Arabidopsis thaliana: one gene and its partner. The protein of the gene in region 1 interacts with the protein of each later gene in a pairwise test. Each region holds a gene or a part of one and is shown on either strand. Other genes may lie near its edges. The genes, in order: APEM9 and PEX6.

Region 1 (4,657 bases):
ACAATCCGCAATGGATAAACTCGTCGAGAGGATCAAATCAGAAGCTAAAGACAACGACGGTCTTGTTTGGGTCCTAAGAAACGCAAGATTCGCTGCGTTTTGTATTCTTTTGGAGATGTGTTTTGGAATCGAAATGGATGAAGAATCGATATTGAATATGGATCAAGTGATGAAGAAAGTGTTGATCACACTCAATCCAAGACTCGATGATTATCTCCCGATTCTTGCTCCGTTTTATTCCAAGGAGAGAGCAAGAGCTCTCGAGGTTCGTTGTGAACAAGTTGATTTCATCGTTAAACTCATCGAGAGACGACGGAGAGCGATTCAGAAGCCGGGGACTGATAAAACGGCGTCGTCTTTTTCTTATCTTGATACACTCTTTGACCTTAAAACCGAAGGTCGTATAACGACGCCGTCTAATGAAGAGCTTGTGTCGCTCTGCTCTGAGTTTCTTAACGGTGGTACGGATACGACGGGGACGGCGATCGAGTGGGGTATAGCGCAACTGATTGTGAATCCTGAGATTCAATCTCGGCTCTACGATGAGATTAAATCAACGGTTGGAGATCGTGAGGTTGAGGAAAAAGATGTGGATAAAATGGTCTTTTTACAAGCCGTTGTTAAGGAGATTTTACGGAAACATCCTCCGACATACTTTACGTTGACTCATTCCGTCACGGAGCCGACGACGGTCGCCGGTTACGATGTTCCCGTTGGGATTAACGTTGAGTTTTATCTTCCGGGAATAAATGAGGATCCAAAGCTTTGGTCTGATCCGAAGAAATTTAACCCGGATCGGTTTATTTCGGGTAAGGAGGAAGCGGACATAACCGGTGTAACCGGAGTTAAAATGATGCCGTTCGGTATTGGCCGTCGGATCTGTCCGGGGCTAGCGATGGCGACCGTACACGTGCATTTGATGCTAGCGAAGATGGTTCAAGAGTTTGAGTGGAGCGCTTATCCGCCGGAAAGTGAAATTGATTTCGCCGGGAAATTGGAGTTTACGGTGGTAATGAAGAAACCGTTGAGAGCCATGGTTAAGCCAAGGGTCTAAATTTGTTTAATTATGAAAACGATGTGTGCTTATATATTAAAGAAGGAACCTATACTCTTGAAATTTGTCAAGTGCTTTGTGAATTTCTAGTAAAAGATTTCATTTATTGTCAAAACACATCAATAAATGATTTTGCTTTTTTTTTTTTTTTTCAATGTAAAACTGAGCTACCTTGAGATTGTGCTTAACACTAATAATTTCGTACATACACCGAAAGTAGGGCCAAGTAGCTATAAAGAGAAGAGACATGTCGATGTCAAAAATGAAAAAGACATGAATGTGATGCTGGACTTTCATTGAGCCGCAAAAGTTAGCTCAGATTTTAACTTGTTAACTAATCTTGTTGCATGTTCATGAATCATTGAATGTTTGAAATAACAGTTCACGCAATGTATCACTGTTCTACTTCACTTTTAATGCGAAACTAATGGCCCATTAACAACCAGAATAATGCTAATCATCATTTTTGGGCTTAGCTTGCTTTGATTAGATTTGTGAAGGAGAAGCCCATTATATTGGCCCAATAGCAAATACCCAATTAATTCCTCTCCCTCGCTTCTTCCTCGTTCTTCATTCGAGCAGAATCAATCTCATCGCTCTGTTGTGTCTAATTGAAGCTTTGGATAAGCTTCTTCCAATACCTCTACAATGGAGGCAACTGATATTTGGGGAGAAATTGAACGTTCTGAGAGGTATTCCTGAGAATTTGCTTAAATTTTAATTTTTCATGCTTGCGAATTTTGGTTCCGTACTTGGCCATGTGTATAAGGAGAAGTCAAAATTTTCTCAGAATTAGTTATCACGATAATTATCTATCCGGCTTTGATTCAGTCATGTATAGAGTTTGTAGAAAAACGATTCATCACAGACTTGACAAGAAACAAGTTCAAATGAAATTGCTTATGATGATGTCCACTCAAATTTATCTCATACTTGTAAAAATTATCTGTTTTCAAGTTGAGAAATTGGCTCAGTACCAATTTCATTACTCATTTTTTTTTTTGTTGGATGTGTATAGTTACCTAGTGTGCTCTATGTATGAAGAGGCAGAGTCATTATCTTCCTCTATACTGAAAAGAATATTTGGCAACATTGATGTTTTATCCGACGAAGCTTCTCAAGGTGATCATCAATTTCATGATATGTTGGAATCTGCTGGTATGGTCTTAGTTCAATCCTTGCATGGAATCGGCAGGTATATTTCATTTACTGTATTCAGATGTTATAACATGAGTAGTTCTTTTGCCTCTTACTTCTGTTTGGAATTGGATGCTCTAAAGAAACTTTAGAGTCTTGGACGCTTGTTGTAGTTTTGGCTATGTGATAGTTTTTGCCAACAAATGCCTTTTTCATGCAGGACAGTTGAGATTGTAAATGAGTTAAGAGATGTGTTTGGAGAAGTTGCAGCTATTCCTGTTCAAGTTCTTCTTACTGGGTATTGTTCTTGTTCTAAATCTTTCAAAGTATTACAGCTTAAGATGCTTTAAAAGGAGAATATTTGGTTCTTTTTGCAGTTTATTTTTCAAAACTAGGAGTAAAATACATTCATTTTATTTGCTAACTTTTTCTTCTTAAGGGGAGTACAATAACATTCATTTTATTTGCAAACTTTTTCTTCTTAAGGGGAGTACAATACTGCTCTCTGGATGCATTAGCATAGACAAAAGTCACAGAACAAGATTGTTGAAATCTAGTTTATTGATCTTCTTCCCTTTTTTTCCCTTTTAGAGTATGCCTTCAAATATCAAATGGTTCCTATTTGGGTGTACGTGATATTCTGGAAGAGTTCTTTAGAATATGGGTTTACAAGGACAACCACTATATCCTAAATGATGCTGGAGTAAGTACAAAAGGATTCCATGCGAAAAACTGTTTAGATATTGATGAGTACATGGAAGTCGTTGAGCTGTATACTTTTGGAGTTCTTGCAAAATTTTCAAATGACATGGGCCTAGCCATTTCATGGGTTGAAAAAGCTGCATTGCCTGAGGAAAGGCGACAGGTACTAACTATTGAATATTTTCGTGAGTTGTGTATGAAATTGTGAATTTGTTCTAACTATGATGCTACACTAAACTGTCTATTTCAGGGGATTTTGAGAAGATTGCATTCCTTACTTTCTCTCAAAACAGCTAGTTCTTTTGAGGAAAATTCCAAAGATTCTTCTTATGCTGTAGTGAATAACAAGAAGTCGTTGGGTAATGAAAAGAATGATGAGATTGATTCTTTCCTGAAACTATCTAAACAGCATGAACCTTGGTCACTTTGGTCATCCCATCCTCTAAGCCTCAAGGTTGGTAATACCCAATTTAGCATGTCCAGGGGAAAGGTTGCCGTAAGCCTTGTTGGATTAATCATATGTTATGCTTTGAAGAGAAAACGAGCTGCTTTGATAAGGTAAGAATTCTTATAAGCTTGTTTCTATGCTTGAATGATCAGAAGTTGTGTGATGAAAAAATACATTGTGAAACTTGTTTACTTGTTTCAGGATCATTCGCAGGCAAATGGAGTCCACGAGAAAAGCAATAGTAGATTTCTGGAAGCTTGCGTTTTCATACCAAGTGAATCCTCTTGCAGCAATTCAATCCATACCAAGCACCACAACATGAAGATGGATCAAAATTTGGCATTGAAAATGCCTATGTAATACCAAACCAACACTCAAATATTTTCATAATTGGTTCTATTCAAAGTTCAAACTTAGTTTTCCCAAACTTCTCCACTTATATCAAACTGTAATCACTGAACATGATTAAGAACCCGTTGCATATTATGTTTTATCTATATTTCTCCTTGCCTTTTTAATATGGGATAAATCCTCGTATGTTTGGATTTCGAAGAAGCAAGGGATTACAGTTTCAGATTCAAAGCTTACACTTCAAGGGAATTCATCTTCTAATGGTGAAACTATTTACAGAAGCAAAAGCTTCGCCTTTAAGGCTCCTCAGGAGAATTTCACTTACCATGATTTCGAGCTCGGCAAGATCTATGGCGTTGGCTCTTATTCAAAGGATTCATTTTTTCGATTTTTTTTCCTGTAAAAATCACACCTTTTTCTGCAATTTGGTTTGATTCATGAATCAATTCATATCCTGGAGATTTTACGTATGTGTAATTGAATCAGGTTGTTAGGGCGAAGAAGAAGGATAATGGAACTGTGTATGCCTTAAAGATCATGGACAAAAAGTTTATCACCAAAGAGAATAAAACCGCTTATGTCAAATTGGAGAGGATTGTTCTTGATCAACTCGAACATCCCGAGATTGTGAAACTGTTCTTTACTTTTCAAGACACGCAATCACTATGTAGGTAGTTTCTATTCAACTAAAGTCTAGACTAGAACAAAAACTCTAAAACCCTAAACCAGAAAATCTCATCAAAAAGCTTAAGCCTTGTATAGTTGTTGAAAGCTTGCTAAACTCCCATCATCTTCACCATCATCATCGAAAAACCCGAAGTTTTCCTGCAAGTAGCGGCCATATTGATCCGGAGAAATTTGGTCATTAAAATGTGGCTGCTGGCCAATAGAATTCAAGTTGGATCCAGTGACGGTTACATTGTCCCGGGAGTAGGGGTGATATTCACCCGGAGGAATTTGGTCAC
Region 2 (7,416 bases), on another chromosome or scaffold:
ATTTCAATGTTGATTCCATAACAGAACTTAGCTGCGAGCTCAAAAGCCTCTGATCCTCCAGGAGCATTTGAGAGACAAACATTCGATATTTTTGGATCCGCGAGAAGCTTTCGGATTTTTCCACTCCGAGACACAAGAGGAAACTGAGAAATCAAAACAACAAGTAACAGTTGAAAACTTTCAATACAACTCAAGAACAGAGGATACTCTGTTTTAATGTTCTTAAATTTGCTTTTTACCTTATGAAGACAGAAACTCGAAGATCCAACTTGAACTGTCAGATCACTAGAGACATCGGATATCGGCCTGCGAAAACAGATAAAAAAACCATCAAGATTAAGCGAAAGGATTTCTGAATTATGAATCAAAAGATCTTTTGTGTACTTGAATTCCATGACTCCGACGCTAAGATTCTAGGATAACGAAACAGTGAATTTATCGCCAAAAATAGTGTTATTTATTCCTGGTTTTAGAGACATTTAAAGATTCACAGGGGACATGTAAAAGATTATGTCTACATCAAGCTTTTTCAAATGAAGACAGAACTAGAACCAGATGAAGTGTTAATGTACGGATATGTTCCACATATATACAAAATAAGATGGAGAAATTATTGGTTTCGATGAACAGTAAGACTTTAACAAGAAATGACTTTTGGCTACAGATTCACATCACATACAAGATTGCTATAATTCTTCAGAAAGAACAAATTTTTTAGTCTTTTTCTGACAGTTTTATCAAAAACAAAGATGTGAATGCAAAAAAAAAAACAAGAATCGTTGTTACTAAATTTGGATTTCATTTGGTGATAATAGTTACAAAACTGGTTTTTGAAACAGAGTATATATTACCATTCAGAGGCATGTCTGATGGTTGAATTCAGACGAAACCCTCTCTTTCCTGTGAAAGCTGGCTTCAATTCTCCGACTGTAACAAGTCCCATCTCTCTCTATTCTCGTAGCAGAAGAAGAAGGAGAAGAAGAAGAAGAAGAAGAAGAAGAAGAAGAGCTCTTGCGGTTGTAATGGCAGTGAATGTACGTAGTTAATGGATGTAAAAAGGTAGAGAAAAAAGATTTGGTTAAAATTAATCTGCTAAGTACGTGTAAAGCTGAGATCATTATTATCACAGATAAAATTAACTTAAGGAATAACAAACAATACATGCAATGTACCTACATTAAGTTGCTAGCTAGTATCCTTTGAGGCATTTCCATCCATTATTATGGGATAAGTGAGGTTTCTTCTATCATCATTATGTCTACTCTCTTGTTTTTCAATTTTCGTTTCAATTTAACAAAAGTTTAAGATGATCAATCATTTAATTTTTCTACATACTGCTTTGTCCACTAAAATTTATATGGAATATATATCTAATGCAAAGTTTTCTAAATATAACGATACATAAAGAATATATTAAGTGTCAAGTGAATAATTTTGGTGAGACCAAGCTTTAAGATCACTCCATGCTTTTAGTTTTTGAAAATGTATATTTGTTAGTGGTCCAAACAAAATTAGGGCCTTTACTTGCTTTGGTTAGAAAAATAGAAAAGCAGTAGTGATTACACCGATTGAGATTTATATTTTAGCTTTAAGGCTGTTTATGTAATGATGTTAGGCTGATCGAAAATTCTCGAGCCCCTCGAAACCTATAATTTGTTTTTTTAAAATATTTATGCTAATTATGATTCCAGGTTAATTTTACTAAACAGATTATAGTAAAACTTTGATTAGGAGGAACAAATAGTACAAAAAAACAATAATCAGAAAATATAATAATATAAATACGAAAAAATCCTTAAGTGGGGCCAGTACCATCTGATCCTCTTCAGTCTTCATCGGTTCGCGTACTGTGAATTTTCTTCAACGGAACTTGAATCTTCTGATGGAAAATTAGGGTTTTTGTTTTTATACTTTTTTTCTGACTCTTTTGAGTTTTGAGTAATTGGGAATTCGATTTGATTCCGTTGCAATGGTGGAGAGACGGAATCCTCTGGTTCTATCATCCACAAGAAGTACTCTCCGTTCAGTGCTCAATTCGTCACAACCCAGCTCTGCCGACGGCGACCGAGTTCTGAATAAAGACGGTGACTTGTTACGAGGGAACGCTAGGTTGTCTGCGGGCATTCTCCGGTGGCGGAAGGACGGAGAAAATGTTTCCGATGCAAAATTGGATTCTTTAGATGACTCTGCATTGGTTGGACTCTCCACTCAATTGCTTAAGAGACTATCTATCAACTCTGGTTCTTTGGTATGTCCTTCTCATCTTGTTCAGTCAACAAAGCTGGATCTTTTCTGGATAATTTTGTTGCTTTTGATGTTAACAATTGAGTTTTTAAAATGCAAGGTTGTTGTCAAGAACATTGAGATAGGCATTCAAAGGGTTGCGCAAGTTGTTGTACTTGATCCTCCCAAGACGACGCTGGAAGATGCATCTCTCACTCAAGTACCTGTTTCGGACTCTCTTCATACGATGCTTGTCTTTCCCACTTATGATTTGATGGGCCAGCAGTTATTAGATCAAGAGGTTGCTTACTTGTCCCCAATGTTAGCTTTTAATCTTAGCTTGCACATATCTTGCCTGAAATCCCTCGTACATCGAGGGAACGGGGTCTTAGAGAAGTATTTTGAAGCTAAGTGTGATGAGGAGTTTATCGGAAAATCTGCAGAAGATGGGTCGAAGATTGGTTTGGATTTGGAACCCGTGTCCCAAGTTCCAGGCTATGCATCACATCTGAGAGTTTCTTTTGTTAAAATCCCAGAGTGTGGTACCATCCCATCCCTGAAAGTCAATTCGTCATTTGAAGCTGAAGAGCGACAAGGGTTAATAGATTCTGCATTACAGAAGTATTTTGGAACTGATAGACAGCTATCAAGAGGCGATATATTTCGCATTTACATTGACTGGAATTGTGGTTCAAGCATTTGTAATCCATGTAGTCAAAGGTTGTGCTCCGAAAGCGACGACTATATATATTTTAAGGTAATATTGGTTTTCATTTTTGCCAGAAAAATGCTCATTTTGGCCAGAGCTTACTGAAAACTTAGTTCATCTGCTCAGGTTATTGCGATGGAACCTTCTAATGAGAGGTTTCTTCGAGTGAATCACTCCCAAACCGCCCTTGTCCTTGGAGGAACTGTATCTTCTGGTCTTCCACCAGATTTACTGGTGTATAGATCAAAGGTTCCTATGCCATTGCAGGAGGAGACAGTAAATATTTTGGCATCGGTGCTTTCACCACCTCTCTGCCCATCAGCACTCGCCTCAAAACTCAGGGTTGCTGTTTTACTGCATGGTATACCAGGTACATTTGCTTCGGTTTCATCAAGAAAATACTTCACTTTCATATATGTTCTTAAGGGTTAAACTATTTCTGGAAACAATGTTAAGGAAAGACTAGTAAGAGACTATGTTTCTGTGTTTACAGATTATGGTAATTTGGGAGAAGTCATAATTCGACCTTTATGCTCTATGCATATAACTGAATCACGTGCTAATAGCTTTTTGTATCTATTGCTTGTTTAAGGGTGTGGGAAGAGAACTGTTGTTAAATATGTTGCTAGGAGGTTGGGGCTGCATGTAGTTGAATTTAGCTGCCACAGTTTATTAGCATCATCTGAGAGGAAAACATCTACTGCTTTGGCCCAGACTTTTAATATGGCACGAAGGTAAAATGGTATACTTTTTTTCTTTTCTTTCATGTATTCATTATGAACTGCATTCAGTAAATGGCCGTGTTTTAATGAAGTGCAAAATTACTTACATTTTTGTAAATATTGAGCTCTTCTTTCTGGAATAGTATTTTTATCCACAACTTGGTGAATGCCTTGTTTTCATTGTCACAGGTATTCACCAACGATACTTTTGCTTCGCCATTTCGATGTTTTTAAAAATCTGGGCTCTCAGGATGGTTCACTGGGTGACCGAGTTGGTGTGTCCTTTGAGATTGCATCGGTTATTAGGGAACTCACTGAGCCAGTTTCTAATGGGGACAGTTCCATGGAAGAAAAATCGAATAGCAATTTCGTAAGATTTTCATTTCTTTCCTTGGTTCTCCATTGCGCGTTGCACAGTTTCACTTAAGTTCACTTTTCCGTTTTCCAAATCGTTGTCGCATAATCCATTTTAGCTAAGCTCTCAAACAACTCATGATGGTTTTAGACCTCGTACTCTATAAAGTAAAGAAAAGAGAAAATATTGCTCTTCGAAACCCTTTTCCATGATGCTTTATCTGTATATGTGCTAATGCAGTCTGAAAATGAAGTTGGAAAGTTTAGGGGACATCAAGTGCTGCTAATCGCATCTGCTGAAAGTACTGAGGGTATCTCTCCAACAATCAGGCGTTGCTTTAGCCATGAAATACGTATGGGTTCTTTGAATGACGAACAGAGATCTGAAATGCTGTCTCAGTCCCTCCAAGGCGTTTCTCAATTCCTTAATGTATGTGAGTACAATGCTCCAAAACTTCAAGTATTTGTTTTATGATATAATTTGAACTAAATTAAATTACCTCTCATTGAAATCTTAGAGATACTAGATCCATTTATTCTTCCATTTTCAAACTAAAGTTAACAACTTCAGGCTTGATGGATAGATATTTTCACATTGTAGATTAGCTCAGATGAATTTATGAAAGGATTGGTGGGACAGACTTCTGGCTTCCTTCCCCGGGACTTGCAAGCTCTTGTAGCTGATGCTGGTGCCAACTTATACATCAGTCAAGAGTCCGAGACCAAGAAAATTAACTCTCTGTCAGATGATCTTCATGGAGTTGATATACACCAGGCAAGCCAAATAGATAACAGCACTGAGAAATTAACAGCTAAGGAAGACTTTACCAAAGCTTTGGATCGATCAAAGAAGAGAAATGCATCAGCCCTTGGTGCTCCTAAGGTAACATTCACAGTTTTCTTGCTGTGGTGTTTTCTCGTTTGTTTGTCTATTTATGAGACAAGTTTGCATATTTTTTTGTTACTGGAGATGCACATAACTTAAAGGTTTATTTGTATTCGTAGGTTCCAAATGTGAAATGGGATGATGTTGGTGGGCTTGAGGATGTGAAGACATCGATATTGGACACAGTTCAACTACCTCTCCTGCATAAAGATTTATTTTCGTCCGGATTGCGTAAACGTTCTGGTGTACTTCTCTATGGCCCTCCAGGAACAGGGAAAGTAAGTAAGCCATTTTTTCTTTCACTTTTAGCATCTCTTAATAGTCTGTTTTTTGGCAGTTATATTTTTGAGTTTTTGAATTAAATTTACAGACTTTACTGGCAAAAGCTGTGGCGACAGAGTGCTCCTTAAATTTCCTCAGTGTAAAGGGTCCAGAATTAATCAACATGTATATTGGAGAGTCAGAGAAAAATGTTCGAGATATATTTGAAAAGGTAAGTTATATTTCTTCTTCCCTAGGAGAAGCATATTGAGTCTTTGGTTCTGATTCTTAAACTAGTGTGTTTTCTTCAATTGCAGGCAAGGTCAGCGCGACCTTGTGTGATCTTCTTTGATGAGCTTGATTCTCTTGCTCCAGCTCGAGGTGCTTCTGGTGATTCTGGAGGAGTCATGGATCGAGTGGTATCTCAGATGCTTGCAGAGATCGATGGACTCAGCGACTCTTCCCAGGATCTGTTTATTATAGGAGCAAGCAACAGACCTGACTTGATTGATCCAGCTCTTTTACGGCCTGGCAGATTCGACAAACTTCTATATGTTGGAGTCAACGCTGATGCGTCTTACAGGGAAAGGTTAGGCATTTAAACAATCAAAAGCATGTCCAAAGACAAAAAAAATTAGAAGCTTCCTGATTCTTGTTTTTGACAGGGTACTTAAAGCACTGACTCGGAAATTTAAGTTAAGCGAAGATGTATCTCTTTATTCAGTAGCAAAGAAGTGTCCCTCTACATTCACCGGCGCTGATATGTACGCCTTGTGTGCTGATGCTTGGTTTCAGGCAGCTAAGCGAAAGGTGAGAGGGATAGGGTTGAAATTTAAGACTATATAAGTCTCTGTAAAAGCTTTTATTGAAATCGCTTTGTATCTGCATACTTGGCAAATGCAGGTGTCAAAATCGGATTCAGGGGATATGCCTACAGAAGAAGATGATCCCGATTCAGTCGTTGTAGAGTATGTGGATTTTATAAAGGTTAAAACTCTTTTCCTTCATCTACTCATCAAAAAGAGTTGCCATTTTCATGGTTGAGTAGAAATGTTAATTTGTTATGGTTCGGTTTTATCAGTCGAGAGTTATAATAGTTTCCCACTTTGTCTTCTTTGTAGGCAATGGATCAGCTCTCGCCATCACTCTCCATAACTGAGCTTAAGAAGTATGAGATGCTTCGAGATCAATTTCAAGGCCGTTCGAGCTAAACCCCTCTCAGTACATAAAAATTAGCTTATAATGAAGACATTTCATATTTTTTTCCCAGACTATTTTCTCTGAACAGTTCTGTTGATTTGGTTAGTCAATTGATAGTAAAATTAAAGAATCAATAATGTAAAATAATTTTCTTGGTTTGAATTACCTTTGATTGGTTACGCACAAGTGATTCTTCGCTTCCATAGTTCCATGTAATAATATAACACACAAGTGAAGCAGATTATTCAATGGTAAAAGGTTTTCTTAAAAAAATTTCCACAACGGTTCATAAAAGAATTCTGTTTTTGGTTTGGGTAGGAAATAAAATCATCAGTTTGTTATATTAGGTTTGTGTTTTATATTATCTGTTTGATTATGGTGTTGTTAGTAATTTCAGAATATTTTCTCCAAACAATTATTTCAATTGGCATTCCAAAAATAGCGTTTTTGTTTTCCACACGTGACTAAATTCCATTAATTACGTGAAGCATAGAATCCATATGGCGAAAGTTTTTTAAATTACAGTAAAAATTTTTATGATTAAGGAGATTTTACTTGCAAAAAAAAGACAAATCTTTGAAGACTGAAATGACGAACTTGACCACTATGACATCACTTGTCACGTGGGATTTGCTTTGTTTGGGCGAGCTGGTCCGAAATCAATTTTTTTTTTTAGGAAATTATTTTTGTTGAGTTAATTTTTTTTCCTCTTTTTCGTTTGTTCGAGAAAACAGAGAATGAGGAATCAAAAAACGGAATTTTGAATTTGCAACGTGAGGAACCTCCTCTGTCGTTTCGATCTTCAAGTTTTTTTTTAAAGCTTTCTCTCTTCAAAGCTCTTCACGTGAGCTCTCCCAAATCTGGGCGTTATTCGCTTTCTGGATTCTGAATCGCATTATCCAACGAATTCAGCTGATTGATTTTATCGGGCTGCTTTGTTCAAGTCTCTCTATGTAAATGGGTATTTAAGAGTTTTGCTTATTCTCTCGATCGATCTAAGTTTTTTTCTGAGGAAATTTGGAAGATTTTAGCTTCTTCGATTGATATGATATATATAGGTT

Evidence for each region.
Region 2: the proteins of APEM9 (region 1) and PEX6 interact in a two-hybrid assay, tested with the Arabidopsis thaliana proteins (one study listed by BioGRID).

What each region holds. Positions count from the first base shown.
Region 1 is NC_003074.8:3,302,644-3,307,300, forward strand, and holds APEM9 (3-phosphoinositide-dependent protein kinase-1), read left to right. Parts: upstream 1-1,581; 5' UTR 1,582-1,702; coding exon 1,703-1,746; intron 1,747-2,072; coding exon 2,073-2,249; exon of another isoform or gene 2,250-2,394; coding exon of another isoform or gene 2,395-2,411; coding exon 2,412-2,489; intron 2,490-2,782; coding exon 2,783-3,056; intron 3,057-3,143; coding exon 3,144-3,451; intron 3,452-3,542; coding exon 3,543-3,663; 3' UTR 3,664-3,861; downstream 3,862-4,657. Other genes in the region: CYP77A6 (cytochrome P450, family 77, subfamily A, polypeptide 6), read left to right, coding at 1-1,054; AT3G10580 (Homeodomain-like superfamily protein), read right to left, coding at 4,440-4,657. UniProt on the Arabidopsis thaliana protein: Involved in peroxisome biogenesis and matrix protein import. Required for pollen maturation and in vivo germination via its role in peroxisomal function, which partially involves jasmonic acid biosynthesis.
Region 2 is NC_003070.9:687,007-694,422, reverse strand, and holds PEX6 (peroxin 6), read left to right. Parts: upstream 1-1,762; 5' UTR 1,763-1,969; coding exon 1,970-2,248; intron 2,249-2,344; coding exon 2,345-2,980; intron 2,981-3,058; coding exon 3,059-3,302; intron 3,303-3,524; coding exon 3,525-3,666; intron 3,667-3,843; coding exon 3,844-4,024; intron 4,025-4,249; coding exon 4,250-4,438; intron 4,439-4,609; coding exon 4,610-4,891; intron 4,892-5,013; coding exon 5,014-5,172; intron 5,173-5,264; coding exon 5,265-5,387; intron 5,388-5,472; coding exon 5,473-5,744; intron 5,745-5,820; coding exon 5,821-5,965; intron 5,966-6,058; coding exon 6,059-6,142; intron 6,143-6,276; coding exon 6,277-6,366; 3' UTR 6,367-6,628; downstream 6,629-7,416. Other genes in the region: AT1G03010 (Phototropic-responsive NPH3 family protein), read right to left, coding at 1-143, 240-306, 852-943. UniProt on the Arabidopsis thaliana protein: Component of the PEX1-PEX6 AAA ATPase complex, a protein dislocase complex that mediates the ATP-dependent extraction of the PEX5 receptor from peroxisomal membranes, an essential step for PEX5 recycling.